4 linked regions of the Tamandua tetradactyla genome follow. The main gene of each other region encodes a partner of the protein of the gene in region 4 in a complex. Links are inferred from orthologs where the notes say so. Each region holds a gene or a part of one and is shown on either strand. Other genes may lie near its edges.

Region 1 (7,146 bases), on a different chromosome or scaffold from region 4:
TGGGCCTTTATACTGCTTCTAACGCTTAATGTTACAGAGCATGAGGCAATAAACACTCCTGTATAGATTAAAATATTTCCATAGATTTATGGAAATTTTTTTAATCAGTTTTGAAAGTGAAATTGTTGGGTCTAAGGATATGAATTTTACATATCATATCCACCTAGAGTATATAAAAATACCTGTTCCCCACACCTTCTCTAATACTGGGTATCATAATTTAATCTTTACCAATCTATGAGTGAAAATGTTACTTTGTTGTTTTAGTTTGCTTTTTATTATTAAATTCTTTTCCTTAATAATTTATATGAGCCTTTTTTATCTTGTTTGTCCTATGTGTTGCAAGTATTTTTTTCTCAATCTGTGATTTGGCATCGTATTCAGAGATGGGATATTCTAACTAAAAAGGGACTTTCTCAGTATTTCTGGGGATATAAAAACGTGTCCTAAAGAGGTGGGGTTGCCATATGATCTTGCAACCCCGTTGACAGGAGGAACTGAGAGTGTGGACACAAATGGACATTTACTGGTGTTTATGGCGGAGTGTTGGCGATTCGCAATGGATGGAGGTGGCCTAAGGGTAAAAATACTGAGGAATGGAAGGGGGAGCTATGGTTCTGAGGTGGACAACTAAGTGGATGACCCTTAAGGACAGTATGCTGAATAAAATGTCAGGAACAAAAAGACAAAAAAACAAAAAAAAACTTACCCTAAAGAGATCCTTATTCAGAGAAGTAGAGGGGATCTTATTGAGTGCTGATCTGTGAAGGCATCTACTGCCTGGACTCAGAGTTACAGTGAAAACCAGTCTCCCAAAGCAAACCATTCAGAGGAACCCGGAACTCTTAGAGCAGTTAGGCAGCTGGGAAGGAATTATCTAAGCTCCCATACTGCTGCCCACCACTAGCCCTTACAGAGCAACAGACAGGCAAATCTTGATCCAAAATATAAGGCAGCTTGAAACTTCAGAAGCAGTAAGGGCATATCCCACAAATCGAATCTGATTGTGAGCCTGGGTTATGTACTTTTTCTTGTTAATCAAGTTACAGATACCAACTTATCTCATAAAGAATGGAAATATTCTCTGAATAATACTCACCAAAAAAGAGTCGAATGACTTCAATTCCAAGATAAAGGAAAAGCATCACCACATCCAGTATGAGGTTGGCTGTTGGATATGGCAATAGGAGACCTGCCAATAAGAAAGACATGGTTTGCAAACAACACATAACAGCACCCACAAGGACTCCCACACACTTGGGAAGAAAGAGATGAGTCTTATCAGCTTTCCAAAAACTAGTTAGTGAGAATGTAGACGCTATTACAGCTGTGGGATAAGTTAACTCATAGTGTGACTATGTTTGTTAGAGGGAGGCCCATTATTATGGGGTTTTATTCTTAATTCCAAAAACCTGTGGACACATCCACATGATCTGACAAACGTAGGCACACAGGCCACTAAATAGTTTCTGAGGGTCACCAATGGCCTTAGACTGAATTGAACAAAGAAAAGTGATGGGCGAGTCAAAATGGAGACTAATTCATTTCCTAAACTCAAGAAATTCTTACTGAGAGTCTTCCTACTTATTCTCCAGGAAACTATCTAATGAAGAGACTTCTGCCTTGCAGTGAAGAGAAGCTACAAGAGGCAGAAAAGAATGGAAATAGGCTCTGGGGTGAAGTGGGGAAGGGATATTGGAGCACGGTTAGTCAAGCCCCAAGCCTTACCTTTATAGAGAAATATGAAGAGTTCCAGCAGGAAATAGGTAGCATAATACCACCCGTTCAGAAAAAACAGGATTTCCAGGGGCGTGGAGGACAACCGTTTACCTGAAAAGATGGACACAGACAAAAGGGTTGGGCGGGGGGGGGGGGGGGGGTGTGGGGGGAGTTCAATCTCCTTTCCCTGCACCGTTCGGTGTCTAACTTGGGAAAACCCGAGGTCGCTGCTGGGGGGAAAGGCTGTTGGGTTGTGAGGGGTCTTCCTTCCCTCCCCATTTCTCCTCGGAATCAACCGCCAAACCCAACTCTGTCTTTCGGGTTCGGAGGTGAAAGCCAAGAGGAAGCTCAGAGGGTATCCCAGCCGACAGGCGCCGCTAAGATCTCATCCCATCACTATTCGACACTGGCCTGTTCAAGGTCACGCGGCGCATTCCTAACCGAGCCGGCCTGGAACAAAGCCAGCCAAGGATTTGGGGGTGTCTGAGACCGCACCTCGAGACCTTCGGGCTCTCAAGGTGGGTGAGGCTACAAAACCCCGCTTTGGACATGTGAGGAGCAATGTCTTCACCACCTGACAGCGGAGTGTTTAGGTCGAGCTCTGGGAGAGAAGGGAGGTCGGAGTGGGGGGAGACGGGGGGCCAGCGACTCACACACCTCCGGAACCTCACCTCGCGGCGCCATCTTCCGTCCCCATGGAAACTGCATACGCGGCAGTCTCCGCTCCGGGAGCAGCGAGGCGCCGCGGGAAGCGGAGGATGGAGCGGCCCGCATTGGCCTTTCTGCCCGCTCGCCGTACTCTATGGCTGCCCCGGGCGGAGCCGCCCTGGGTGCCGTCTGCGCGTGCGCCGGGAGGAGCCGTGGCTGCAGGTGCTGCTGGCAGAGAGCGCAGTTCGTGGGGGCTGGCGAGCATTGGCCTCCCGCGACGCTGTCGCCCTGCGTTGCTGCGCTTTGGGCAGGAGGGGCCAGTTGTGACAATGGATCCAGAGAATTGGCAGACAGATCCTAGCCCCGCGGTTCTCTTTCCTAACAACCGCCCGGGGACGGAGTCGGGGTGCCCCATGCTGCTCAGCAAACGCCTGCTGGGGTTTAGCCTTGGTCTTTTGTGCGGCACGTTTACGTACCAGGTAGTCAGGGACACTGAAAGGAATCGGAAGGAGAGCTTCTTGGGTTTTGAAGCCTGGTTCCGATTTGGGGCAGGGGAGTGGAAAGAGAAAGAGCTTTGAGCGGACGCAGGCTGACTTGACTGTGACTCCGTTGTCAGGGTCCTTGAGGACACATGGCAGAGTCGAAACAGCGATTTGAAGAGAGTGGCTAATCTTCAAGGAACAGTACTGGAGTCCTGGCTGGTGTGTGTGTGTGTGTGTGTGTGTGTGTGTGTGTGTAGGGGCGGGGGTGGGGGTGGGGAGCTGCTGTTGATCCCTGGGTGAAAAGAGGCAGTAATTGTTATTTCTCCAGGGCTTAAAGGGAAGGGGGCCTTGGAAGCCTGGAGAGAGTAATGTGTAAGAAGCAGGCCTGCCCAGAAGAGCTGTGACAGTTTGGAGGGTGGGTGGTGCAGTATGCAGCCCTGTACTCCTCTCCTCCACCTCGCAGGCTCTGATTTGCTCCAACCTGTGAGAATCAAACTAAGCTTAGCTCTCACAAAGGTGACGCAGGCAGGGAAAGGGGAGGGCTTCTGACGCAAGGCCGAATCCTTAATGGCCAGGGTCATTGAAAAGGTAAAACGTAAACAAAGGGGGAACCTGCGGCGGGAAGTTCACAGTAGTTAGATTATCCGGATAGGCTGTAACCTCTGGGGTAGCCGATCAGCCGAGAAACGGGAGGGACTGCGGGTCCGGCACAGGAATAACTTTCAGCTTCTGTGGTTTGGCTCCAGCCCCCCTTGTGTGTTCCTCTAGGCGCCCGTTCTTGCAAGATGGTGAATAAATTGTCTTCTCCTCCGCAATCGGATGAGCGTTTGTTCTCCTTCAGGTACGGCGTTCGTTCTGACAACTTTGGGGGCCCTTCCGGGATCCCAGGCTTCGCAGGAGCACCCACCCACCCCCAGGAGGAAGGGAAGGCGCACCCCGCTGATTGAGCGGTCTTAAACTCTGTCACTGGGGGCCAGCTGCCGACAGCCGGGATGCTTCGAGCCACCGACTGTGAACGAGAAAGAGGAGGGGCTGCCTCACAGTAAGCAAGCAACTCTGTGCACGGACCAAGGTAAGAAATCGGCTGTTAAGTATTGCCTGGGTGGTCAGGAAGGATCCTGATGAGTCTGAGGTGGAGTGTGTGTGTGTGTATGTGTGTGTGTGTGTGTGTGTGTGTGTATCTGAGACGCCCAAACATGTGCCGGGTCCCAAACCACCGTGAGGAAAAGGGGGCTGGAGACGGTGAAAGTGAAACAGGGATGAGAGAAAGGGACCTTGGCAAGACACAGGATGGGGAATAGAGGCAGGCGGCTTACCTGGAGAAGAAAGGGAGGGGGTGCTGGTAGACGTTCAGGGGACATTCCCCTGGACAGTCCATTAGGGAGAATGTTAAAATATTGGGCTGATAATTATGGAACAAAGGGGAAGGACAAAAAGGAAATGGTTAAATATTGTTGTTATATTATGACCAAAGAAAGCGTTGTGCTGTCCGATATATTCTGGCCAAAATACGGGGCAGATGAGGGTTGGATTTGTACAAACCTCGTGCTTTATGCTAATAAGAACCCTTTCTCGAAAGATGACTCGGATTATGCCAAGTGTTGGCTAAAGGGAAGGGAGAGTCCTCTTTATCCTGTAAAGGTAGCAGAGTCAGAGGCTAAATCTTTAGAAGCTAAAGCCTGGGATCCTTTATTGAGTCTTTCCTGCCCTGTGCTCCTCCCCCAGGACAGGGACTGTTGGACCCTGAAGGCCCAAGAAGACTAACATGCATTCCCCACCCCCACCTGCCTCAGGGAGCGGGAGGGGCAATCAGGGCCAACTGTTCCACCTGTGACAGTCCACCAACCATTGAGGAAGGAGGTGGAACAACGTAAGAAAGATGGAATTTTCCATTTCCGAGGGCTCCTGAGGGTAAAAGGGTGAGGTAGCATAGGCCTTATAAGTCGATATTCCCTCTTAGAGAAGTTCCTATTGGACCAGGGGAAACTGGTTATGTCAGTGTCCCCTTGACCAGTACAGAAATGAGGAACTTTAAGAAAAGAAATGAAATCGTTACTGGATGATCCAGTAGGGCTAGGTGAACAACTGGATCAATTTTTAGGGCCCAGCTTATACACCTGGTCTGCATTTACATCCTCATGGGGGAAGAAAGGGCACAGGTGAGGAGGGCATCTATGGAAAAATGAGAGAGGCAGCCCCCACCTGGACAAGGGATGATGGCAGCAGAGCAGCAGTTCCCTAATGTAGATTCCAACTGGGATAATAATGATGAGGAAGACAGGGTACAAATGAGAAATCTTAGAGACCTCATTATACAAGGGGTATAGTTGTTAATACCCAAATCTCAGAACTTAAATAAGGCCTTTGAGGTGGCCCAAGAAAATGATGAGACTCCTTCTGCTTACCTACAAAGGTTGAGAGACCAGGCAAAGAAATACTCAGGAATGGACCCTAATAGTCGTGTGGCCCGAGGAATATTAAAGGTCAGCTGTGAAGGGATCTTGGCCTGATAGAAAAAGATCTAGAAAATAGATGGATAAACCACTGGAAGAGTAATCTGGAGAATCCCAGAAAGTATTTGTGAGATAGGAAGACAAAAGATAAGCAGAAAGCTAAAGTCATGATAAGCACATGATGACCACATGGTCAAGAAGAGATTAGAGATAAAGCAGGGAGGAGACAGGCACAGGCAAGATAGAGAGTTGGAGCTAGAGGAAATAAAGGAGAGAGGAGGGCCCGGGACACAGCAGTTCTGTGTATCACTGTGGGATAACATGTTAAAGGGGAGTGGTTGAGTTTAAAGAAAGAAGGTCGGGGTGAGACCCCTGATGAATTTTGAAGATTGGGGAGGTCAGAGGCCCCTTGCCTCAAGAGCCCACCAGGAGACTTTGGTAAATCTGAAGGTGGGTCTATATTCAAGAAGCAATTACATTTTTGGTAGACACTGTGGCAGCTCCATCTTCCGTGCACCACATCCCAAAGGGGATTGAATTCTCTGGTAGCTCTGTCACGGTTTGGGGAGTAAAAGGCGAAAGGTTTCAAGTCCCCATTTTCAAACCTACTAATATCTGTTGAGAAGGGAACCAAATTATAAGTTCCCTGTTCAGAAGCTGGGAGTAATTTATTGGGAAGAGATCTGATAATACCCATGGGACTGGACCTGGAGGTGAGGGATGGCCAAGTAGAAGTTGTCTTAAGCCTTGCTTACCGAGAAAGATAAGAAAGGCATCCAAGAAAAAGTATGGGTGAGGGAGGGAAGTGGGGGAGTTGCACGTTTCCTCTATAAAAATTAAAATGTAAAAGGAAGGGGAGGTGGTTTGTCAAAAAGAGTCTCCCATCCCATTGAAGGGGAGACAAGGACATCATCCAGTCATCGAAGGTCTCCTTCGAGATGGGCTCTGGGAAACTGAATGTCCCCTTTCAGTAATCCCGTTCTTCCCACCCAGAAAGCAGCTGGTAGCTGGAGGGTGGTTCAGGACCTGAGAGCCATCAATCAAATTGTTCAGGTTAGACACCCCGTGGTCCCTAACCCTTATATGCTCCTATGATGGATTCCCTACCATCATAAGTGGTTCAGTGTAGTAGATCCGAAGGGTGCCTTTTGGGTCTGCCCTCTTACCCCAGAGAGTAGGGACTTGTTCGCCTTTGAATGGGAAAATCCCTTCACTAGAAGGAGGCAGCAATATAGGTGGATGGTCCTACCCCAGGGCTTCACAGAGTCCCCCAATCTCTTTGGGAAGGAACTAGAAAAAGTGTTGGGAAGGTTTTCTATCCCATCTGAAATTACCCTTTTACAGTATGTAAATGATCTGTTAATATCGGGTAAAGAAAAGCTAGGGCATTGCCCAGGCTGCAGGGGACCTGTTGAGCTTCCTGGGGGGCCAAGAACTAAGGGTATCAAAAAATAAAACTACAGGTTGTGAAAAGGGAAGTTAAATACTTAGGCCATCTCGTAAGTGAAGGGAAAAAAGGAAAGTAAATCCAGAGAGAATTCAGGCCATAATTAGATCGCCTCTTCCCTGGACAAAGAGGGAACTAAGGAAGTTCTTAGGATTAGTGGTGTACTGTAGGTTGTAGGTAGATTCTTCAGCCTCTCCAACTAAAGGGTTATACCAAAAACTGTTAGAGGAAGAGCCTGACAAATTAGAGTGGAGGGAGGGGGGAGTAGGAGCTGCAGAAGGGCTCAGACGGGCACTGATGAAGGCTCCTGTCCTAACTCTCCCCTCCCTCGAGAAACCTCTCCATCTATTTGCTACAGTAGATAAAGGAACAGCATTAGGGCTACTAACCCAACCCT
Region 2 (7,698 bases), on a different chromosome or scaffold from region 4:
TTTGTATTCCTCTTCACCCTGGATCTCAATACCTACTTGCTGTTGAATGCCAAGGACATAAGAATAAGATTTCTGCCCTACTCACTTAGGCAATGCTACCCCATGGGTTTCAAAATAGACCCCATATCTTTAAGGATGGTTTAGCAGCAGACCTTACTAACCTCCAGTTGCCTCAAAGCACAGTCTGACATATTCCTAGCATGAAAGTGGATCTTATTTGAAGTTAGTTCTGACTACAAGCCCTAGATGGATATAGAAAGTTATAGAAAGTTTGTGAAAGTATATTTTGTTTGTCGTAGGGCATTGCTATCAGTCCTGGATGGATATGGAAAGATGCAGAAGGTTTAAGCAAGTGAATTTTGTCGTCATTGCTGACTACAAACCCTGGATGGATGTAGAAAGTTGTAAAAATTTTCTCAAAATGAAAATTTAAGAAAGTAGGTTTTGTTTATAATCACTGCTGACTATAAGCCCTATGTATAAAGAGTTATAGAGGGCTTTTAAAAATATGTCTTGTCATAATTAATGCTGCTCCCTTAACCATCTGAATATTCTATCTATATGTTTATACTAACCTTATCATCCTTTATTTCAAAAGATAAGTTTTCTTACTTTTAAAAGAACTGTTGCAAAAGATTTGTTGTTTCACCTTGTGAAACTGAGGGGTTAAAATCATATTAAATATAATAACTAAGAGAGATTTTCTATCCTTTTGTTAAGTAAATTTATGTAAGTTAAATGTTATTCATATATTTACAATTTTATAAGATTCCTAAAAACTTAACAATGTTCTCACTGTCCATGTTTTATCCTGATACTGATTTGCATGATAGGAAAATTTATAGATCATTAAAAACAACTTAATTCAGCTTTATTCAACATGGAACCTAGAATAAAGAATAAAATCTTAATCATAAAATTAAAAAAAATATTTGCAAAGTCCCTTAAAGGACTAGAGAAAAATGTGAAGCTATTTAACTTCCCCACTTAGGGAATTCTTGCTATTCTCCTATGCAATAAGGGACCTGTATTTAATAAGCCAAGCCCTTGATCTTGAGGCTTTCCCTTATTTGATTTATTTCTATAATAGCAAAGTTAAGCCTTCTTATAACTAATGCCTATAACTCATCCCCAGAGATCCTCTTTTATTGCTCAGATGTAGTATCTCTCTTTAAGCCAAATTCTGCAAATAAACTCACTACCTTCTCCCTTACATGGCACATGACTTCCAGGGGTGTAAGTCTTCCTAGTAACATGAGGCAACACTTCTAAAGAAAGTCTGACCCTGTGTTATAGAATTAATTGACCAAAAAAAGAAAAATGAAATTCCAGGGGCTAAGAAATTTCAAATAGAGATGAGAAGTCATTCTAGACATTTTTATTATACAAATTTCAGCCAGAAATTGCAAACTGCCACATTAGGACAAGCCCCAATCAATAATTTTCCTAAAAACTCTAAATACTCTGAGCTCCATCTTGCTCCTGCTTCTGTTCAGACCATGTATACAATTTCTCACCCAGTTTGTTTCTTCCATATTAAAAGCCTTTCACAACAAAGTTTTCCTCACCAGAGGCTGCATGCCTGTTCCCCACACTCAACCAGCCACTCTCAATAGCATAGCCAGAGACTTTTATGCTAACACAAGTAGGGCCTGTAACCCCACTGACAGCTTGAAGCAGCTATAAAAGATGGACCATTGGCCCAAATTCTCTTAAGGGAGCTAGGAAACCTCTGAGGGGGAAATGAGGTAGGGTTAGAATTAGGGTGGTAACTGGCTAAGCACAGGGAAAACTCTAAAAAGCAGTCAGGCTTCAAGGTGGAAGATATCTCTGAGAAGAACAGCAATAAGTAGCACCTGGAGCCATATGACCTCTACCTGAGTAAGTCATTTACAGAGAAGGGTGGAGTCAACCACCCAAATGCACCACCCTGGAGAGAAGGGAGGGTAGGAGAAAGAGGCCTAAACAAAGAAGGGGAAGGGGGAGTAAGTAAAGCTAACCTATAAAAGTAGATTGCCTCACATTGTGGGGGCCTCTCGCCTCTCACCCCTCTTTTTTTGTAAAAGTGTCTGCATTCTCCTTGCCTGCATGTACTCAATTTTCTGCCTGCTTAACTCTTTGGGCTGTGCCCTTGAATTGTTTCTTGCGGCATGGCCAAGAACCTAGGAAGCCGAATCTGGCAACTGTGATTTAGCTAATCACAATTTAGGATCAAATGAGATATTACACTGCCTGGGTCATAGAAAACCAGCAATTACTATCATTTATTTTCGTTATCATCATGGTTCCTGCTACAACTAACATTTTAAATAATTCTCATATCTTTAGTTGCAACCTGTTTTTATTTTTTCTGTAATCTATTCAAATAATGTTTTCTCAAGAAACATTGATCTACCCCAGGCATCTTCTATCTTCCCTTAGTTTCACAACCATCAACAAAGCCAACTAAATCAGAAGCTTGGGAGTTATGCTGGACTATTTCTGTTTCTTTATTTCCTATATCCAAGCTATAAAGTTCTCATGATTCTTCCACTTCAATAGCTCTTTCATTCATCCTCTCCTACCTCTCTCTTCTTTCATTGCCCTAATTTAGATTCTGGATTTCTGCTTTAGCAGTCCAATTGGTCTGTAACTCTAGAGTTTTCTATGTACTTTGTCTCAGGATTACATTTTCTAAATTGCAAATCTGATCAGGTTATTCCTTAGCTTAAAGTTTTAACAAGCTTCAAACCACAGTAGGCAAATATAGGCATTCAAGAGCTTTCATTTTCATTCCTGCCTACCTTTCCAACCTCATCTCCTGTCACAGCCCATATATATTCTGCACCTCAGGGACATACAGGTACATGTTTTCCTCCTGTGTGCCTGCTCTCTTATACCTCCTCAGGGCCAGGCTGCCTCTAAGCCCATGACTTGAGATCCTACACAAAGGGTGATGCTGATGCTGTGGGACGCTGGCCTTTCTGCTGAGATGCAGGGTGCTGTTGGGCTCCTGCCTCTGAGGGAATGGCACCTGGGTCTAATGGGCTACCAGCTTCTGCTGCTGGCCTTTGAGGAACTAGAGTCACAGAAAGACCTGCCCCAGCTGAGGAGGAACCTGAGATGGAAGCTCCAGGCCTTGGGCTCCGCTGGGGGCCTGAAGGGCGGTGAGGGGACACACATCAGGATCAGGGTGGTCCCCCCATGAGGTATGGGCAGTTTGTACTTTGGCTCCCTCTGCTTGTTTTGGTTTCTTATTAAAGTCCTTTCCTCCTCACCCACACTCCCAAATCTACAATATCTCTTCCCCTGTTATCCCTTGCACACCCTATGCAGGGTTAATCCCAACCTCCATTTTAATAAATGGAGGAGCTCTTCTATGGCTTTAATTATACAGAAGACAAGGAGTAAATATTAGTGCCCTAATCACTTCCACAAAGCATATAAGAATATATACTTCATCAAGGAAGACTAGATTTGAAACCCACCCATAGCAAACGTTTGCAAATTAATCCCAACTATTTTGACCATACCCTACCTGAGTCCCCATTAATATTTACATGGCCAAATATTTTTTAAGTTGTATTCAGATAACTGATTTCCACTTCAAATTAGACACTTCAAATAACCCAGTAATTACTCAAAAATATATTTAGACTTCTTTAGAAACAGCTTTTCAAAACACATGCCTGCTATGTCATAGGGATTAGTGAGTGGGTGAATGCTGGTCTTTTGGGAAAGGCCACATTGAGGAAAAGTAGGCCTAATGGTGGTTAATGATTAAAGTTATTAACTTTCCTAGATGTATTTTCCACATGAACTAAGAATCCTTAACTAGTGACAAATCATCATTTTTATTATTATGAAATTGTTTTTTAAGCCCAAAGTCATTTCTAGGTACTATTGATAGATGAAGCAGCTTAAAAATATGCCAGGTGATTTGATTGGAGGAGAGAGACAAAATATAACTGTCAAATTAGAAGCAACAAAAACAAAAATGAGATTTAAATATAAGGAGATTAGTTTTTCTTTTGCTATCCATAAATTGGCTCTGAAAGTAATTCCAAAATGTTTTGAGGTTAACAGCCTCCAAGGATGACTGCTTTGAAAGACAACATTCATATATGTGTACATTTGATTTTTTTTAAATAGGTTTCTCCTTTATTTATTAACAAGTGGTGTAAAAAAGATGATCTTATTTTATTTACATGGTTTCCTATTCTTCAAACAAGGGAAGTAGAAAAACGTCTGGCAGGAAAGATTTTTTCTTAGTGCTTGAGCCATAGCAATGCTCCAACATTGCATACTTTTAAAATGTTATCCACAGAACCAAATACACGTTGGAATATCTTCTTTGACGTGAAATTTGCTTAGTGTGGATACATTCTGATGGAAATATTTAACAACATTATCGGAAAACAATACTTCCCCTTAATTTATGTAATGCAATCAGATATTATCATTCTCGTTCTATTTCCGACCCCCTAAATCGAATGAGTCGCTTCTCAGAGTTTGAAACAACATACTTTATTATAAGACTTGCGAGCCCTTCAGGCTCTAGGGGGAGTCTGATTTTAACCCAAGGTTTTCCACACCCGCCGGCTATGTTTGGTAACCTAGCAACCAGGCTCCGAAACGAATCCAAAATGCGAGGCGGGGATGGGGGAGGTGTGACGGGGAAGTTGTCCAATCAGCATCGCGGATTCGTCGCAGAGACCGATGGGGTGCAGAGGGGTAGACTGCTTCAGGTATCGGCACCATGGCGACGGGCGGCTGTGGGGCTGGGTTGGCAATGGCGGTTTGGTCCGCTTTGTCTTCGCCCACTGTGACTGCGTTTCTCCTTTTGGTCCTTCCGCGCGTCTTGCAAGCCCAGACCTTCTCTTTCCCCTTCCGGCAGCCGGATACTTGCGGCCACAATCAGTACTTCGATATCTCCGCGCTTTCCTGTGTCCCGTGTGGAGCCAATCAGAGGCGGGACGTCCGAGGTGAGACCTTTTGGGATGAGTTCCGGCAAAAGTAACCCTTCCTCCTTGGTGCTGTCCTTAATCCCGGCGTCGCTGAAACGCCTATTTTTTTAATCGGCGGGAAGAATATATCAGAAAAGTTAACCGCCGACGACTGAGGGGACTGTTTCCTTGGAGGATTGCTAATGAATTTGGGGAACCCGGAGTCCGCTACCCCGGGAACAGTTCTGGTTCTTCAATTTTCGGCACTAATGCCTCTCCCCTCATCCGGAGGTCTTTAGATAGCACCTGGAAAGCAGCCGAGAGAGAAAAAAAGAATAGAGAAGGTGAGACGCAGAGGAGTAGATGACAAGAAGGTTTGACAGGAGATACACATTTTGCAATTGTAATCTTTGACTGCCGTTTATCTTACTTTTCAAATCCCAGAATTTAGGGCTGGGAGGGATTGTGACTATGATCAGATCCAGTTTCCCCGTTTTACAGATAAGTAAATTGAAGATCTTCTGAAGAGGTTGTAATATCTTCTTTGCAACCTAAATTGAAGAAGTGAAGAACTCGTGTCTATTTGTCCTCAGTCTGAAACTACATATTTCCACCATACAGTGTGTCCTTAATTTAAATTTCATTAGGACTTAGCCCTTTGTATTGTTGAGTAATACTAGTTGCTCTTTAATATTTCTTTAGATTAAGCTAATTCATTTTTTGTCTCCTTACTTCCATCATTTGTCTTAGTTTGCCTCATGGACACTGTTCCATAAATCTCCCATATTCTAAATTCTCAAATATTTTATCTTGATTTGGTTATCCATGTGTATTGGTTTGCTAAAGCTGCTAGAATAAAATATAACAGAAATTGAACAGCTTTTATAAAGGGAATTTATTAACTTACAAGTCTACAATTCCAAGGCCATGAAAATGTACAAACTAAGGTGTCTTGAGAAATATACCTTGCCTCAAGAAGGGTGGATGGGTCCAAAACACCTCTGTAGGCTGGGAAGGAATGTGGTTGGATCTGTTGGGCTCTCTGGCTTCTGGTTTCAAACAGCTTCCCCAGGTGGCATTTTCTTTCCGTATCTCCAAACATCTGGGTCTCATGTTGGCTCTCACATAACTGTGTTGTCTCTGAAGCAGCTGTTGTCCAAGCTCAGCATCTGAGCTTTCTCTAAAATGTTTCCCCTTTTAAGGGACTGTTGTAAATTAATCAACACCCACCTTGAAAGGGCAGAGTCACATCTCCATCCAATCAAAAGGCCACACCCACAATTGAGGGGGTCAGTCTTCATGGTAACAATCTAACCAAAGGTTTACAATATTGAATCAGGATTAAAGGACATGGCTTTTCTGGGGTACACACTTTAAAACAAGCACACCATGGTACTAAGATGGTACTTCTGTCATCTTCAAATTTGATATATTTTCACTTGGATTATTGAACAAGACAGGTCAGGACACTCAAGTAAGGAAGTGTGAATGAGAAAACATTGAAGAGACTCTAAAGGTGTAAGGCATTAGCTTATAATTACAAATCCAGATATTGCATGCATTGTACTACAGAGACTCCTATGGGTGCTGTTTTCACTTACTGCCCTTATAGGATGCTACACCTACCTATTCAGCAAGTTGAGTAGTGTTTATAATGTTCACTATGTATCCAAGTTGAGGGAAACAGTGATTCCGTGAATTTTTTGAATCAAGGTAATTCATTCAATCTATGTATATGGATGGGTGACATGGAAATGTAAAGTTACCCACAGAAGTTTATCAATAATCTTATTTATAGTTTAATTATGCTGGTGCTTAAATTGGTAGCAAACATAATACCCACTGTGTGCTCAACCCTGTTAAAACCCTTTACATCTAATAACTAGTTTAATACTCATTCTGACCCTTTGAGGTAGGTACTAATACTACCCCATTTTGCCAAAGAAGCAGCTGAGGCACAAAGAAATTAAGTAGCAGCACTAAAATTATAACCTAAGGAGTATGTTTCTGGACTTGAACCCATGCAGTATTGGTTCCAGTGGCCTCGGTCTTTTTTTTTTGCTTGGAAGGAAAGGAACTAATGTCTTTTTTTAAAAATTTATTTATTTTTTATTTATGATCCATAACCACATACAAAGACAAGCATTCTTATCATATGATCATTCTGTTCTTGTTATATAGTCAATAACTCACACTATCTTCACATAGTTGTATATTCATCATTATGATCATTTTTAGAACATCTGCATCAATTCAGAAAAAGCAATAAAAAGAAAACAAAAAAATATTCATACATACCATACCCTTTACCCCTCCCCTTCACCGATCACCAGCATTTCAATCTACTAAATTTATTTTAACATTTTTCCCCTTATTATTTATTTATTTTTAATCCATGTGTTTTACTTGTCCGTCAATAAGGTAGACAAAAGGAGCATCAGACACAAGGCTCTCACAACCACAGTCACACTGCGACAGCCATATCATCATACAATTATCTTCAAGAAACATGGCCACCAGAGCACAGCTCCACATTTCCAGGATGTTCCCTCCAGTCTCTCCATTTCACCTTAACTAAACAGGTGATATCTATTTGATGCTTAAGAATAACCTCCAGGATAACCTCTCGACTCTGTTTGGAATCTCTCAGCCACTGACACTTTATTTTGTCTCTTTTCACTCTTCCCTCATTTGGTGGAGAAGATTTTCTCAATCCCTTGATGCTGAGTTCCAGCTCATTCTAGGATTTCTGTCCCACGTTGCCAGGAAGGTC
Region 3 (7,284 bases), on a different chromosome or scaffold from region 4:
TACAGTTTTCCCTAATCTTAACATTGTGCATAAATGCAATAGATGAAACAATATTACTATAATTATACTATTAACTATAACCAATAGTTTAATTAAAGTTTAACTCTGAGTTGTACAGTTTTATGTCTTCTTTTTGATAACTTATATTCAACCTAAAATTTCCTTTTTTTGTTCACTTTTGAATATATAATTCAGCAGTGTTAACTACATTCACAAAGTTGTGCCTCCACCCCCATCATTCATTGCCAAAACTTTTCCAACACCCCAAACAGAAACCCCGTACCAATTAAACACTAACTTCCCATTCCCCACCAGGCTCCTGGTAGCCTGTCTTCTAGTTTCTGACTTTATGAATTTGCATATTGTTTTCATATAAATGAGGTCAGACAGTATCTGTCCCTTTATGTCTGACTTATTTCACTCAACTTGATGTTTTCAAGGTTCATCCATGGTGTAGTATGTATCAGAACTTCATTTTTTACAGCAAAGTAATATTCCATTTTATGTATATACCACATTGCATTGTGTTTATCCATTCATGTATAGACGGACACTTGATGTTGCTTCCACCTCTTGGCAATTATGAAAAATGTCACTATGAACACCGATGTGCAAATATCTGCTCAAGTCCTTTCCCTCAATTCTTTGGGGTATATACCTAGAGGTGGGATTACTGGGTCAGAGTAATGCTATACGGAACTCTCTAAGGAATTGCCAAATTGTTTTCTACAGCAGCTACGCTATTTTACATTGCCACCAACAATGTACAAGGGTTCTTACTTCTCCGCATCTTCTCCAATACTTGTTATTTTCTGTTTTTTTAAGTAGTAGCCATTCCAGTGGGTGTGAAATGGTACTTGTGATTTTGATTTACATTTCCCTGATGGTTGATGACAATGAGCATCTCTTCATTTGCTTTTTGGTCATTTATATATCTTCTTTGGAGAAATGTCTGTTCAAGTCTTTTGTACATTAAACACAGTTGTCTTTTTGTTGTTGAGTTGTACGAGTTCTTTATATATTCTATATAAAGAATATATAGAATATTCAATACTTTCTCCCATTCTGTAGGTCATCATTTTACTTTCCTGATAAAATACTTTGATGTGCAAATGTTTTTAACTTCGATTAGGTTCCATTCATCTATTTTTTATTTTGTTGCCCATGTTTTTGGTGTAAAGTCAGATGGACATTTTTAATCACAAACATTTATATACAATCCAAATGCTGTGCAGCTGGATAAAATATGGGAAAATAACTTAGCCTCTCCTGTTATTTTCACATCATAATGATAAAGCCTGGGTAAAAGGAAGGGAGAAGGGGGCATTGTGAGAAAGATGAAAAAACCCAGATTCAAGAGGGTGTAACCTGACAGAAATGGATAATCCGTGAAATGAAAAGTTCGTTCCAATTTCCCTAAGGTTTACAAAATGTATCTGAGTTAACTTAACCTTCATTTTGACTTTGTAAGATGTCATAGATTGTTTTTAGGTCATCTACTGAGTGTTTGAGATTGGACAGAAAGAGGTGATGAGATTAGTTACCAAATCATGCAGCAGGTCTCAGTTGGAATCATGGAATATTTTACTTGAAGAGAATCTCAAAGGTCATATAATCATAAAGACAAAAATGTTAAAGTCATAGGGCACTTTATCAAATTCAATCAAACAGCCTAAAATTTCAAAACAGAAAATAGGACTAAGTGATTCACAGATATTAGAAATAAAAAGAAAATAGAGGTCTAGAAGAAAAGACTTCTTTCCCTTTTAAAAAAAAAAAATTAAAAAGTCCTGGACTTAGAAGTTATGTGATGAGAAGTTTCAAACTGTGTTGAAAAATACCGTTTTTTTTTTTTTTTTAAAGGAAGCATTTCATCAGTTATTAAAAACGGTCTAGAATTTCAGTCGGATGCTGGTCTAGTTTGCAGGTTGCCAGAATGTGATACCAGAAACGAAATCACTTTTAAAAAGGGGAATTTAATACGTTGCAAGTTTACAGTCCTAAAGCTGTGAAAATGTCCAAATTAAGGTACCAACAAGAGTTACCTTCATTCAAGAAAGGCCGATGAAGTTCGGGGTTTCTCTCTCAGTTGGAAGGGCACATGGTGACATCTGCTAGCTTTCTCTCCCAGCTTCTTGCTTCATGAGACCCCCCCAGGGGGTGTTTTCCTTTTTCATCTCCAAAGGTCTCTGGTTATGCAGACTCAGTCAGTTCTGGTGACTCCATTGATTCTGGTGGCTCTAAAGATTCTTCCAAAATGGTTTCCTCTTAAAGGGCTCTGGTAAGCAAACCCCACCCTGAATGAGTGGAAACGCATCTCCATGGAAACTATCTAATCAAAAGTTACCACCCACACTTGGGTGGGCCACATCTCCATGGAAACAATAATAAAAAAGATATCATTCAGCAATACTGAATGAGGATTAAAGGACATGGCTTTTCTAGGGTACACAACAGATTCAAAATGGCACAGATACTAAGGCAATAGTTGGCAGAAAAAAATTGGAAATATTTGTATTATAGATTTGAATGATCCAATGATATTTTATGTTTTTTTAAATTATATTTTTATTCACTTTCTCTGGAATGCCACAGGAAGGCCCTAACAATGTCACTTTGATAATTTAGCTTTGCTATATAAATTAAATATACCAGTATATATACTATTTCGGCATTCTTCTGAATGGGTAAACTGTGTTTCTTGAATAAATATCAGGATGTGTATAAGTATTTTCACATCTACATCTGAAATACAAGGAGAGTGTCAAAGGTATACCCACCATTCACAGGTTCAGGTACTTCTTTATAAATAATCCAGTTTACAACAGAAGGGCATCCTAATGTAATTGAAAAGTTAGGATTGAGAAATGATTATGATTACCAAATCATTATATAGATATTTCTTTTTACTTTCTAGTATATTAGAATAGACAGAGGAAATACCTGAAATTACTAATCCAGGTGTCTTATCTCTGATAATATTGTATAATGACAGTCTTTATCTTGTGATTATAAAATCCTTGTGACTGACTCTCACAACTGTGAGAGCTGTATCCCATTTTTCAACTTCAGAGTCTTATGATCACTAAAGACAGCCCCTAGTGTTTATGAATGAAGGGTCCTGAGTCAGCCCAGAACTAACCCATTCCAATTCCAAAGCTATGTTGATAGAGGAAGCTGGCTCTCACCAAAATGGGCCCGCCTGACATGTGCAGTAGCTTAGACTTCAACCTATTCATGACCTATACCTCATTATAATATTAAAAATCATGCCCCTCATCATATTAAGACCGCCATTTTGCTGACATACCTTCTTGACTAAGGATGTAATCAACCTGCACATGCTCAATAATTAGATTATCTCTAATTTTGTCATCTTGAGTCATTGTGCTTATTATCCTAAAACCTGACCATCCTTTGGGACCATAAAACCTTCAGAATTATTGCAATTCAGGAGACAGATTTTTAGCTAGGCCATGAGATCATCTATTTCGCACCTAACAATAATTTTTCTCTCTTTGAAATACCTCCCCCACCCCCCTACCCCCCACTCCCACCCCCGTCTCAGGAATTTATCATTTCAGCGCCTGGGGCAGAGAACCCACCACTTTTGACCGATATCACTAAGTCTTGTGTTCTCCTTACCATTTTGTAGAGTTATAGTAGATTGGGTTTGTTTTTTGTTTGTTTTTCTTTTAAGACTTAGAGATCAACCTACTCAAAAAAAAAAATCACCCTACTTAATTTTTGTCAGGTGTTTTTTTTCCGTCTGTGAAAATGTTGTGTTTATTTTCCCCTGTTACCACAAAAAGGTGGACAAACATTATTTGCGGACCCCTCTCGGGAAGCACCAAAACGACGGTGACGTGATCCTCACGCACCCCTTCAAAAGACCCGTATGTCGTCTCGTCAGAAATGCGGCTCCCAAATCTCCGCCCGCACACCGGCTGCGTCAAGACCTTTATTAAAAATACTGACTCTTGGCTGCCACTCTCTAGACCTACTGAATCAGAATCCCCTGGGCTGGAAATCCGCATATTTTAAATAGGCGCTAAGGTGGGGTTAGGAAACCATAACTAAACTTACAAGTGCCTTGTCTGGGCGGCTTCGCTCCGCCTCTGGGCCCCGCCCTGCGGACCCCACCCTTCCTCATCCCGGCTACCGTGGGCCTCGCCCCGCCCCCGCCCCTCCCTCGCCCCGCCCCAGCAGGTCTCCCGCCACCCTAGCTGCTTCACAGGCCCTTTCCCGTCATGCTCCGCGCCTGGCCCCTGCCGTTGCCAAGCAACGCGTGGGCCGCAGCGTCGGCCGCGGGGGGTTCAGCTGGGTGATGGGGCCGCGAGGCCTCTGGCCGCTCCTCCTCGTACTCCTGGGCTGCTGGGCCCCCGAGAGCGCCCGGGCCGGGGCCACCCCGGCGGTGACGACGGAGGTCCCCACCCTCACCCGGGCAGCTCCAGCGATCCTCGGAGCCTCTCGGTCGCCTGAGCCCATCGACACTCCCAGGGTTCCGGATCCCTCCTCCCGCTCCAGGCCCACCCCAGTCACGGATGGTGGGTACCTCGAGCCAATTCTTTGGGGTCCGGAGTGTTCCAGCTAGAAGGAGGTAACCTAGGGAAGAATGTAATAATACCAATGATAGCTAACTTTTATTGAACACTTACGTGTGCCAGATACTGCTCAGTGTTTTATAGGCATTGTTTAACATTTCCAACAACACTGATCCCCGTTTTATAAATAGGCTCGGAGAGCATAAGTGCGGAAAATCATATTTTTGAAAGTTCTTGCGGTGATACCGGACAAATTAATGCTCAAAGTAACACTGAGTGAGGCCGTGTAGCCAAAGATGAAATTTCATCAAGAAGATGCATTTAACTTTTTACTTACGTGAAAGAGAGATGCCGAAGGTTTAGCTTACTAAATGTGAAGTCGAGACCCTTGTCTGTTAATTTTTTTTTTTTTCAGAAAGTAGGTTTTTGTTCTTCCGTGGCCATTGGGCTTAGCCTCTGAAAGTCTGAGCCGGGAACAAAAGTTTAACATCAGATTTTATAGACAGGATGACACGTTAATGTCTCTTGATTTTTAATATGAAAACCCAGTTGGATGCAGGAAGATATGGGGTGAGGGGTTATGCCCCCTTCTTAGAAGTCATATTTAGGGATAGTTAGCATATATCTCAGAAAGCGACCCTCTAACCTGGGAGTTACACATTTAGTGAATATTTTATAATCTGATTTTCCACAGATGACTTCAGGGAGTGTCTATGACCTCCTGAAATTGAGTGCACAATTTTGCGACTGCATTTTTCTGGGGTGAGGGCCATAGTGGTCAGCAGATTCTCAAAGGGGTTTGTGATCTCAAAATGATAAAAATGTAAATCCTGTGTGCGGATTGGGAGTAACTGCAGTAGGTGTGCAATATATATATATATATCCTGTCTTAAGAGAAAAAGATTTTTACTTAAATAGGGTAAGACTTAATAACTAGAAAAGTCATCATTGACTGATGACTTTGAAGCGTAGGACTTAACTTTGGTTCCTGAACCATTATTTCTCCAGAAGCCCTCCTTTGATTATGAGTAGTATGTAAGAAAAAGTACAGTGAAATCCATTTGTTATTTGAATATATACACACAAAACTTTTGTATTTAAACAATTGATTTGATGAGTTAGTAAGGAAGTTAAATCAGTGATAAATTGAGACAGAAGACAGCAGACTAGTGAATGTCTGAAGTTCTCTAAAGCTTTTGGAACTGTGTTTTTTATGTAAGTAATCCATTTGCTAATGAATCTTGTCCCCAAGAAACTATTCTTGAATTATCATTAGTAGTGTTTGTATTCAGAACTGTTTTCCAGATGGAGGATGAATTTGTACTGATCTTCACCTTTTTAAAGGACCCCTCTTTACCTATCATTACTTGTGATGGTAATGATAACTTTCATTTATTAACTCTTTTTTCTTACATGGGCAGGCACCAGGAATCGAACCCGGGTCCTCTGGCATGGCAGGCAAGCATTCTTGCCTGCTGAGCCACCGTGGCCTGCCCCATTTATTAACTTTTATTAAGTGGCAGGCACTGTGCTAAGTATTTCACCTCCCATGTATCTCGTTTAATCCGCATAAAAACCCTGTGATGGGGATACTGTTACCCTCATTTTTTAGGTAGTTCAATTACTTGGTTAATTTAAGGTCATATGACTGGTAAGTGGTTGAGCAGGAAGGAAGTTGACCCACTATAGAGAACTGGACAGCTATTTGCAGAATGGGTCACAGGCAGTATTGGTGGAAGAGAAGAGTGGTAACTGTTCATCTTGAATCAGCTTGGTTCATTTGTACCCATTTGTCCTCTGCTCTACAAGCCAGGCTTGTAGATGTTAAGTGGTGTGTAAGAGCAGCCAAGTGCTGCTTAGACCCAGAGAGTCGTCAACAGATCCTTGTTGGCTGATTAAGTGCACTCACATCCTAGAGGGAGACACTTTTTTTCCTAAGTGGGATTGTTAATACTTCTCCTTTCTCTTTAGTAGTCCTGTAGCTCTTTTCCTTTTAAGTTTTGGAAAATAAAGCAGGATTATAATTTTAAATTCATAAGGCAGGGAAGCTGCATGTTCTTATTTACATTGGTTTGCACATCATTTTACAAAGCTAGAGAGAAGCACATAAATTTAAGGGGGAGAACTTTTGTGCCTTGGACTAGGAAAGGATTGTATTTATTGACAAAACATGGCACTTCCCCTCAATCACACATTTTTTTTTCCCATTGTGCCTTTTTGGGGACTGTTTTGTTTTTTTTTTTTAACTTTTTTTATTAATTAAAAAAATTAACAAACAAAACATTTAGATATCATTCCATTCTACATATACAATCAGTAATTCTTAATATCATCACATAGTTGCATATTCATCATTTCTTAGTACATTTGCATCGATTTAGAAAAAGAAATAAAAAGACAACAGAAAAAGAAATAAAATGATAATAGAGAAAAAAAAGACTATACATACCAAACCTCTTACCCCTCGCTTTCATTTACCACCATTTCAAACTGAATTTAACATTTGTTCCCCCTATTATTTATTTTTATGCCATATGTTCTACTCTTCTGTTGATATAGTAGCTAAAAGGAGCATCAGACATAAAGTTTTCACATTCACAGAGTCTCATTGTGAAAGCTATATCATTGTTCAATCATCATTAAGAAACATGACTACTGGAACACAGCACTACATTTTCAGGCAATTCCCTCCAGCCTCTCCACTACATCTTGAACAACAAGGTGATATCTACTTGATACG
Region 4 (7,978 bases):
AAATGTAAGAGTGGAATATTAATACATTTCAGTTTAGTTCTGTAATGTCAGGAATTTTTCAAAAAAAAAATTAAAAGATGGACTGGAGCTTTTTCTTTGTGAATAGAAACTGGGAAAAAAAATAAATAAATAATAGGGGGAACAAATGTTACAACAAAATTAGTAGATTGAAATGCTAGTGATCAATGAAAGGGAGGGGTAAGGGTATGTTATCTATGATTTTTTTCTGTTTTTTTATTTCTTTTTCTGAATTGATGCAAATGTTCTAAGAAATGATCATGATGATGAATATACAACTATGTGATGATATTGTGAACTACTGATTATATATATAGAATAGAATGATCATATGGTAAGAATGTTTATGTTTGTATGTTGGTGTTCTAGTTTGCTAGCTGCCGGAATGCGATATACCAGAATCCCGCTGGCTTTTAAAAGGGGGAATTTAATGAGTTGCTAGTTTACAGTTCTAAGGCCGAGAAAATGCCCAATTAAAACAAGTCTATAGAAACGTCCAATCAAAGGCATCCAGGAAAAGACACCTTGATTCAAGAAGGCCGATGATATTCTCTCTCAGCTGGAAGGGCACATGGCGAGAAAGACGTCATGTGCTACTTTCTCTCCTGGCTTCCCGTTTCATGAAGCTCTCCGGGAGGCATTTTCCTTCTTCATCTCCAAAGGTCCCTGGCTTGTGGGCTCTCTGCTTCTCATGGCTATGTCGTTCTTCTCTGCTCTCTATGAATCTCCTTCTTTCTCCAAAATGTTTTTTCTTTTATAGGACTCCAGAAACTTATCAAAACCCACCCAAATGGGTGGAGGCATGTCGTCACTTAATTCAGTTTAACAACCACTCTTGACTAAATCACATCATCAAGGGAGATGATCTGATTACAGTTTCAAACGTTTAGTATCGAATAGGGATTATTCTACCTTAATGAAATGGGATTTTGATTAAAACATGGCTTTTCTGGGGGCATACATCCTTTCAAACCAGCACAGTTGGTATGCTTAATAAATAAAATTAATTAAAAAAAAAAGGGGGGCTTGACTAGTCATCAGCAAAGCACAATGCCACACCAACACACACCCATCAGAGGAAAAAGAGAGGCTCAGAGGAAAAAGAGAGAAATACCAACGGCTGGTGGAAGAGGGGAACCACGAAGGCACTGCCACTGGGAGAGCAAATTGGTTCAACCCCTTGGTAAACTGTTTGGCAGCTTCCTCTATAGCTGAACATGTCCTGTGATTCAGAAATTCCACTCCAACAGTTGTGGACCATGTCCACCAAAAGAGAAATTCCCACCAATGGTAGGATGCAGAACTAGTGGTGTCTTCACACAGTAGAAACGATACAGCAATGAAAAAGAAAGAGCTACAGCTACATGCAACAGTGTGGATGAATTTCATAAAAACACTGAGCAAAAGACTGCAGACACAAGGGAATATATACTGTGTGTGATTTCATTTATATAATGTACCAAAAAATAGGCAAAACTATTCCACATGAAAGGGACAGAGCCATCACTTAAATGCAAGCAGTTGACCTGTGGAGTCCATTTTCGTAATCACTAACCAAAACCAGTGGGGAAGAAATCAACTGAAAAAAAACACTTAAGAAAGGGCACTGACCCCAATCTTGGGGTTTGTTCATATGAAACTTAACCCCTCAAAGGATAGGCTAAGCCTACTTAAAATTAGACTTAAGGGTCACCCCCAAGTGAGCCTCTTTTGTTGCTCAGATGTGGCCTCTCTCTCCAACCAACACAGCAAGCAAACTCACCACCCTCCCCCTCTCTACATGGGACGTGACTCCCAGAGGGGTGTGGATCTTCCTGGCAACGTGGGACAGAAGTCCTAGAATGAGCTGAGACTCAGCATCAAGGGATTGAGAAAAACCCTAGAATGAGCTGAGACTTAGCATCAAGGGATTGAGAAAACTTTCTCCACCACAAGGGGAAGAGAGAAATGAGACAAAATAAAGTGTCGATGGCTGAGAGACTCCAAACAGAGTTGAGAGGTTATCCTGGAGAATTATTCTTACAGATAATATAGATATCATCTTTTTAGTTAAGGTGTAATGGAGAGGCTGGAGGGAACTGCCTGAAACTGTAGAGCTGTGTTCCAGTAGCCATGTTTCTTGAAGATGATTGTATAATGATATAGCTTTCACAGTGTGACTGTGATTGTGAAAGCCTTGTGTCTGATGTTTCTTTTATCTACCTCATGGACAGACGAGTAAAACACATGTAGTAAAAATAAATAAATAATAGGGGGAACAAATGTTGCAATAAAATTAGTAGATTGAAATGCTAGTGATCAATGAAAGGGAAGGGTAAGGGGTATGGTATGTATGAATTTTTTTCTGTTTTCTTTTTATTTCTTTTTCTGAATTGATGGAAATGTTCTAAGAAATGATCATGATGATGAATATGCAACTCTGTGATGATATTGAGAATTACTGATTATATATGTAGAATGGAATGATCCTGTGGGAAGAATGTTTGTGTTTGTATGATGGCATGTTTAATAACTAAAATAAAAAATTAAAATAAAAAAAGAAAGGGCACTGATAGGACTTAATGAACAGTTAGATAGTGGAAGTTATGAAGTGGGGGGTGACCTCCAAGCACAACCTTCAGACTCCTTCGATACCTGTGTGTATCAAGACAGGCAGGATAACAGGTAAATTAACTTAAGGTTTAAGGACAGAGATAGAAAAGAACTATGATCAATTTGGCTAAAGGCAAACGATTTTGTCATAATTTCTTCATATTAAATGGGGCCTATAATATCACCTACCGGGTGGATATCTATGAGGATTAAAGCAGATAATGCATGTAATAGGGTCAGTTCAGAGGCTGGCACAGAGGCAGAACTCATTAAATGGTAGCTTTTTTTTTTTTTTTTCCTTACATGGGCAGGCACTGAGAATCAAACCCGGGTCCTCGGGCATGGCAGGCAAGCACTCTTACCTGCTAAGCCACCGTGGCCCGTCCATGGTAGCTTTTAAATACATCTATTAATGAGATAATCCTGTTCAGTTATTTTATGTCTATATAAATGTTATATTGAAATGTTGCCCCATCATTTCGTGTTGGTGAGTCTAACTTTTGAAGTTCCTGTTTTGCTAAAAATACGGAATCAGTTCTCACTGGAGTCCTGGATCGGGTGGACATAGAAACTGGGGATGGGAAAGGCACTGCGCAGGAATTCAGGTGAACACGGTTGACTCTAGCCCACCCTCCCTGCACCCTTTGCATTGATGAGATAATTGAGACTAGACCCGGGTGGGGTCACAGGAGACCTTATTGGCGGAGTCCAATCTTTAAAAACGAGATTTTTGCAGATAAACAGTGGCTCTGTTTCTCATTTCTCATTTATTCACCCTGGTCTTGTTCGATACCAGCAATATGGGGGAAGAGGGACTATTTCTGAAAAGGAAGTTGAACTTATCCGTCCTTAAGCGGCAGGGGGTAACCTCTAAAAATGGAAGGAAATCCTCCTCCCCAACTTCTGGAGTTTCTCCGAATGGGGAAGGACTTCTTTCCAGTTATGAGGCAGAGGGATGCACACAATGACCTGGAGGGCATGTCCCCCTTGACCTTATCTCAAGTCTCTGGTCTGTGGTCCTGGACGGAAGAGAGTGTTTCTTTGGGGGGTGGGGGGTGGGGGCACTGAACATGGACTGATGCACTTATTTTGTTAAGAGAGTATCTGGGTGCAAATATCCCAAGAAATGATCATGATGATGAATATGCAACTATGTGATGATATTGTGAATTACTGATTATATATGTAGAATGGAATGATCAAAATAGAATACTTGCGCTTGTTTGGTGTTCTTTGGTATTTAAAAAGATAAAATTAAAAAATTTAAAAAAAAAAAGAGAGTATCCGGGCCCTCTTACAGGCAATCCCAACCTCCCAGGAGGCAACCAGTGCAGTTATTTTATCACTGTAAAGAAGGTTTGTCAGTTCTGGAACTTCCTGTAAGTGGAATCATACGGTAAATATTCTTTTACGTTGGACATTTTCTACCATGTATAAAATTTCTGAGGTTCACACATGTTTTGTATATGTCGGTAGTTTTTCTTTTCATTGCTGAGTAGTATTTCATTGTAAGAGTATAACAATTCTTTTAAAATCTATTCTTTTATGGAATTTTGAGTTATTTCTAGTTTGGGGGCCATTTACAAAGCTGGAGTAAACATTTTTGTACAAATCTATTGTGAGCACGTGCTTTCATTTCTCTTGACTAAATAGCTCTAGAATGGAATTATTGGTGATAAGTTGGGCATATATTTATATTTATAAGAAACGACCAGTTTTCCAAATGGTTGAACACTTTTTACTCTCTAATCAGCTAAGAGAGAGAGAGAATATCTGGATAAAACAATTGGAGCGCAAACTTCCTCAGCCACACTCAAGATGGCAGCCGTCCATTCGAGCCCAAGTGTCTGAGAGGAAGGAGAGACGCAGTTTTCCCCAACCGGAACGAGACGGGAGGAGAAAACAGTCAATCACATCCTTACCCCGCCCCCTAAGGACGCCAGCACCAATTAGCGACGCGCAGGGCGGATCTAAGCCTGGGAGGAGCAGGCTGCTGTTGCCCAGCAACAACCAGGGAACCCGGAGGCTGGCGCCGCCGCGGAAAGGCCGCCGCCTCAGCTCTCTCGCTGCCGGAAGGAGCCTGGAGAGGCGGAAGACAGGCCTGAGAAATCAGCGCCCGCTAAGAGAGGGACAGGTTAGCGCCATGGACTGCAATACCCGCTGACACTTTCGCACCCCCTAAACGTTATGTGCGCCGAGTTCGGAACGACGCATGCGCTGCTCTGAGAGGTGGGGCTAAGGCGGTCCTGCGCCCAGAAATGCAGAAACGACGCATGCGCCTCCTGGAGCGCGGGGCCGATCCATGCAAGGGGCGGGGCTTTGCCCCATGTGGGCGGGGTCTTACGCTCCTGGGGCGGGGCTTTCCGCTGTACTGAGCCGGAGGAAAGTATTTTGGGGTGGGACAGTTAAAATGCCAGCTTCTCCGCCCAGCCTGCCTATCTTTCGGTGACTCTTCTGGGGTGACAGTAAGGGTGTGGTTAAATACACAAGCCCGCAGGGGGTTGACGAATCTGGCCTGGAACCTTGGTACTGCCACGTACTTGTCGGACCCCAGTTTCCTCAACTATCATGTGGAGATAATGCACTACCTCACTGTGCTTCTAATTCTCTCCTCTCAGGGCCATGGCCGAGGTGCACGTGATCGGGCAGATCAAGGGGGCCACTGGCTTCTCGGAAAGTAGCCTCTTCTGCAAGTGGGGCGTCCATACAGGTATTCTGGTCCCGGTTCATTTCTTCACCCAGACCCCCAGCCCAGAGGCTCGGCTTTCCTTCCTGATCCTCATCTTCCATCTGCCCTCCGAGTCTGCGCCCAAAGCCCAGTCACCATCCTCATGAGTCTCAGGCTGTCTCAGTAGCTGAGGGCTCTGGCTCTTACCCTCGGAACACACAACCTCTTAAGCATATGGCACTGTAGGCTGTACCCCTCCACTTCCAATCCTCAAAACACTACGCAGCCCGAACTCTGTTTGGACTTCACTCCCTGGCTTAGGGGTGCCCTTAGACTCTCCCTCATCTTAATAATTCTTTGATTAACAAATTGCTGCTATCTTTACAGTTCTTAGTGTAAAGTAGATGTTTCTACCCCATATTTACAGAGGAGAGCTGACCCCCTGGTGTTTATAATTCTCCGTGAAGGTAGCCCACCATTCTGGCAGTCATTCAAGTCTGTCCACAGAGGCAGGCCCAGCAAGGCTCCCAACCCCCCAATTTTCCCACCTTCCCATCGGAGGCAGTATGTGTAGGGGTTAGGGCCACCAGCTCTGGGTTCAAGTACTAATTCCCCCATCAATTAATTGGGGACCATTGGGCTTTCCCTTTCCCAGCCTCAGTTTCTTAAGATAAAAAGCAGCTAAGAGGAGTCACCATGTTGAGGTCAAGAGCATAGACTGCGTTGGTTCAAAAACAGTTGCTACTTCTTAATTATGTGACCTTGCCTCAGTTTCCTTACCTGTACGACAGGAATGATAACAACCTATACATCATGGAGCTGTTGTGAGGACTAAATGAATAGCAATAGCACTTAGCACGTGGTCTGGCAAGCAGGGTTTGCCTGGCTCATATTAGAATTTGAACGGGTCTTGTTTGTAAGGCACCAGGTAAATGACCATGCAATGAGTGTGGCTGTGGCTGTCACTTTCCCTGCAGGCCCCAGGTCCTCTGTGACCTCACTGGTGGGTGGTGTGGTATTGAGATTCCCTGGAAGTTCAGAGTAGATAAGAGGCAGCCTGTAGAGACAGCCCTAGTTTCCAGTCTGGGCCCCACCATTCATCTGCTTTCTGACCCTGGGCAGGTGCTGTCCCCTCTCAGAGCCTCAGTTTCCTCATCTGTAAAGTGGGAGTGGCATTCACCCTCCATAGGTTACTGGGAGAGCTGGTATGTGAAAAGCCTGACTCAGGGCCTGATGCTTTGCTCAGCCAGCCTTGAAGGGAGCAACGACTAACATAATTTGCTAATCTGGGGAGTTGTTGGGGATTGGGGCGGGGGATGGGGGTTAGTCCTGAGGAGAACTCAGGGGCAGTCAGATCAAAGGCTTGGGCTCCATGGTCAGACAGAGCTGAGTTTACTGTGGGACCTTGGTCTGCTGTGGTCACCACTATGCCCCAAGCAGCACCTGGCACACAGCAGGTGTGTAATACATGTTACTGGAATGAATGGTCAAGTGACTTTCCTTCTCAGAGCCTGTTTCTTTACCTATAAAAGAGTATTATATTAGCACTCACCTCATAGGATTTTTCATTTACCCAACAAACTTTTATTGAGAGCCTTCTGTGTGTTGGGTTTGAGATCCTGGGAATAGGCCAGTGAACAAAGTCCCTGCTTTTCCAGTGTTCACAGTAGGGGAGACTGAAAATAAAACTAGCAGATAAAGAAATGAGTGCAATGATTGCAATAGTGGTCAATGCTAGGAAGACAAGAAATGGGATGAAAATGTTAAAATAAATTTAGTTTGAAATGCTAGTGATCAGTGAAAGGGAGGAGAAGGGGTATGGTGTGTATTGTTTTTGTTTTTTTTTTCTGTTTTCGTTTTATTTTTATGTTGTCTTTTTATTTCTTTTTCTGAATTAATGCAAATGTTCTAAGAAATGATCATGATGATGAATAGGCAACTATGTGATGATACTGTGAATTACTGATTATATATGTAGAATGGAATGATCACATATTAAAAAAAAAGTGGGATGATGTGGAAGAGACAAGTTTTTGGATAGCAGGGCTATGGAGAGCCCCTCTGGAAATGGCACTTGAGCTGAGGCCTGAAGGATGAAAAAGAGGTAGCCATAGGGAGAGCCAGGAGTGGCAATTTCTGGGCAGTAAGTGCAAAGGCCCTGAGGTGGGAATGAGCACGGCACACTGGGGAACAGAAATAGGACCAGTGAGGCTGTAAGTTGGGGAGGGGGAAAAGCGATGGGAGCTGAGGATGGGGGTGGGGGAGGGCTTTGAGAGCTGGGGGATGGGGTGGAATGGGTGGGGATTAAGAATCCTAGAGGGTGGCTTAAATGAAGTCATTACCTAAAGTGCTTCATACAGTATCTGGCATGTAGTGAGCACCCAGTATGCTTTTGCTATTGTTATCACCCCTCAACAGAATTGCTATTCTTCCACTGTGCCCCCATAGATGATACCCTCAGCCCCATCTTAGTCTTTGCACTAGGATTTTTAATGTGGGGGTGGGAATAGTGATAAAATATCAAACCCTTACCCAGCACTCACTATTTCCCAGGTGCCGTTCTAGGGGCTTTTTCTGTATTAACTCTGATTCTCTCAAAGAACGATGAGGAAAGTATTATTCTTACACCCATTTTACAGATGAGAGACTGAGGCAGAGAAAGTTATCTCACCCAAGGTTGCAAAGGCAGGAACACGTAGT

What was found.
Region 1: B9D2 (region 4) and TMEM216 share a complex: the UniProt entries of both Homo sapiens proteins name them as parts of the tectonic-like complex. The link is inferred for Tamandua tetradactyla from reciprocal best matches to the Homo sapiens genes B9D2 and TMEM216.
Region 2: B9D2 (region 4) and TMEM67 share a complex: the UniProt entries of both Homo sapiens proteins name them as parts of the tectonic-like complex. The link is inferred for Tamandua tetradactyla from reciprocal best matches to the Homo sapiens genes B9D2 and TMEM67.
Region 3: B9D2 (region 4) and TCTN1 share a complex: the UniProt entries of both Homo sapiens proteins name them as parts of the tectonic-like complex. The link is inferred for Tamandua tetradactyla from reciprocal best matches to the Homo sapiens genes B9D2 and TCTN1.

What each region holds. Positions count from the first base shown.
Region 1 is NC_135335.1:13,744,570-13,751,715, forward strand, and holds the start of TMEM216 (transmembrane protein 216), read right to left. Parts: upstream 3,009-7,146; 5' UTR 2,494-3,008; coding exon 2,391-2,493; exon of another isoform or gene 2,377-2,390; intron 2,315-2,376; exon of another isoform or gene 1,952-2,314; intron 1,831-1,951; coding exon 1,729-1,830; intron 1,193-1,728; coding exon 1,100-1,192; intron 1-1,099. UniProt on the Homo sapiens protein: Part of the tectonic-like complex which is required for tissue-specific ciliogenesis and may regulate ciliary membrane composition.
Region 2 is NC_135332.1:137,076,618-137,084,315, forward strand, and holds the start of TMEM67 (meckelin), read left to right. Parts: upstream 1-4,693; 5' UTR 4,694-4,738; coding exon 4,739-4,964; intron 4,965-7,698. UniProt on the Homo sapiens protein: Required for ciliary structure and function. Part of the tectonic-like complex which is required for tissue-specific ciliogenesis and may regulate ciliary membrane composition.
Region 3 is NC_135331.1:11,363,027-11,370,310, forward strand, and holds the start of TCTN1 (tectonic-1), read left to right. Parts: upstream 1-4,269; 5' UTR 4,270-4,327; coding exon 4,328-4,547; intron 4,548-7,284. UniProt on the Homo sapiens protein: Component of the tectonic-like complex, a complex localized at the transition zone of primary cilia and acting as a barrier that prevents diffusion of transmembrane proteins between the cilia and plasma membranes.
Region 4 is NC_135342.1:22,440,787-22,448,764, forward strand, and holds the start of B9D2 (B9 domain-containing protein 2), read left to right. Parts: upstream 1-4,957; 5' UTR 4,958-5,020; coding exon 5,021-5,055; exon of another isoform or gene 5,056-5,136; intron 5,137-5,228; coding exon 5,229-5,320; intron 5,321-6,058; exon of another isoform or gene 6,059-6,244; intron 6,245-7,978. UniProt on the Homo sapiens protein: Component of the tectonic-like complex, a complex localized at the transition zone of primary cilia and acting as a barrier that prevents diffusion of transmembrane proteins between the cilia and plasma membranes.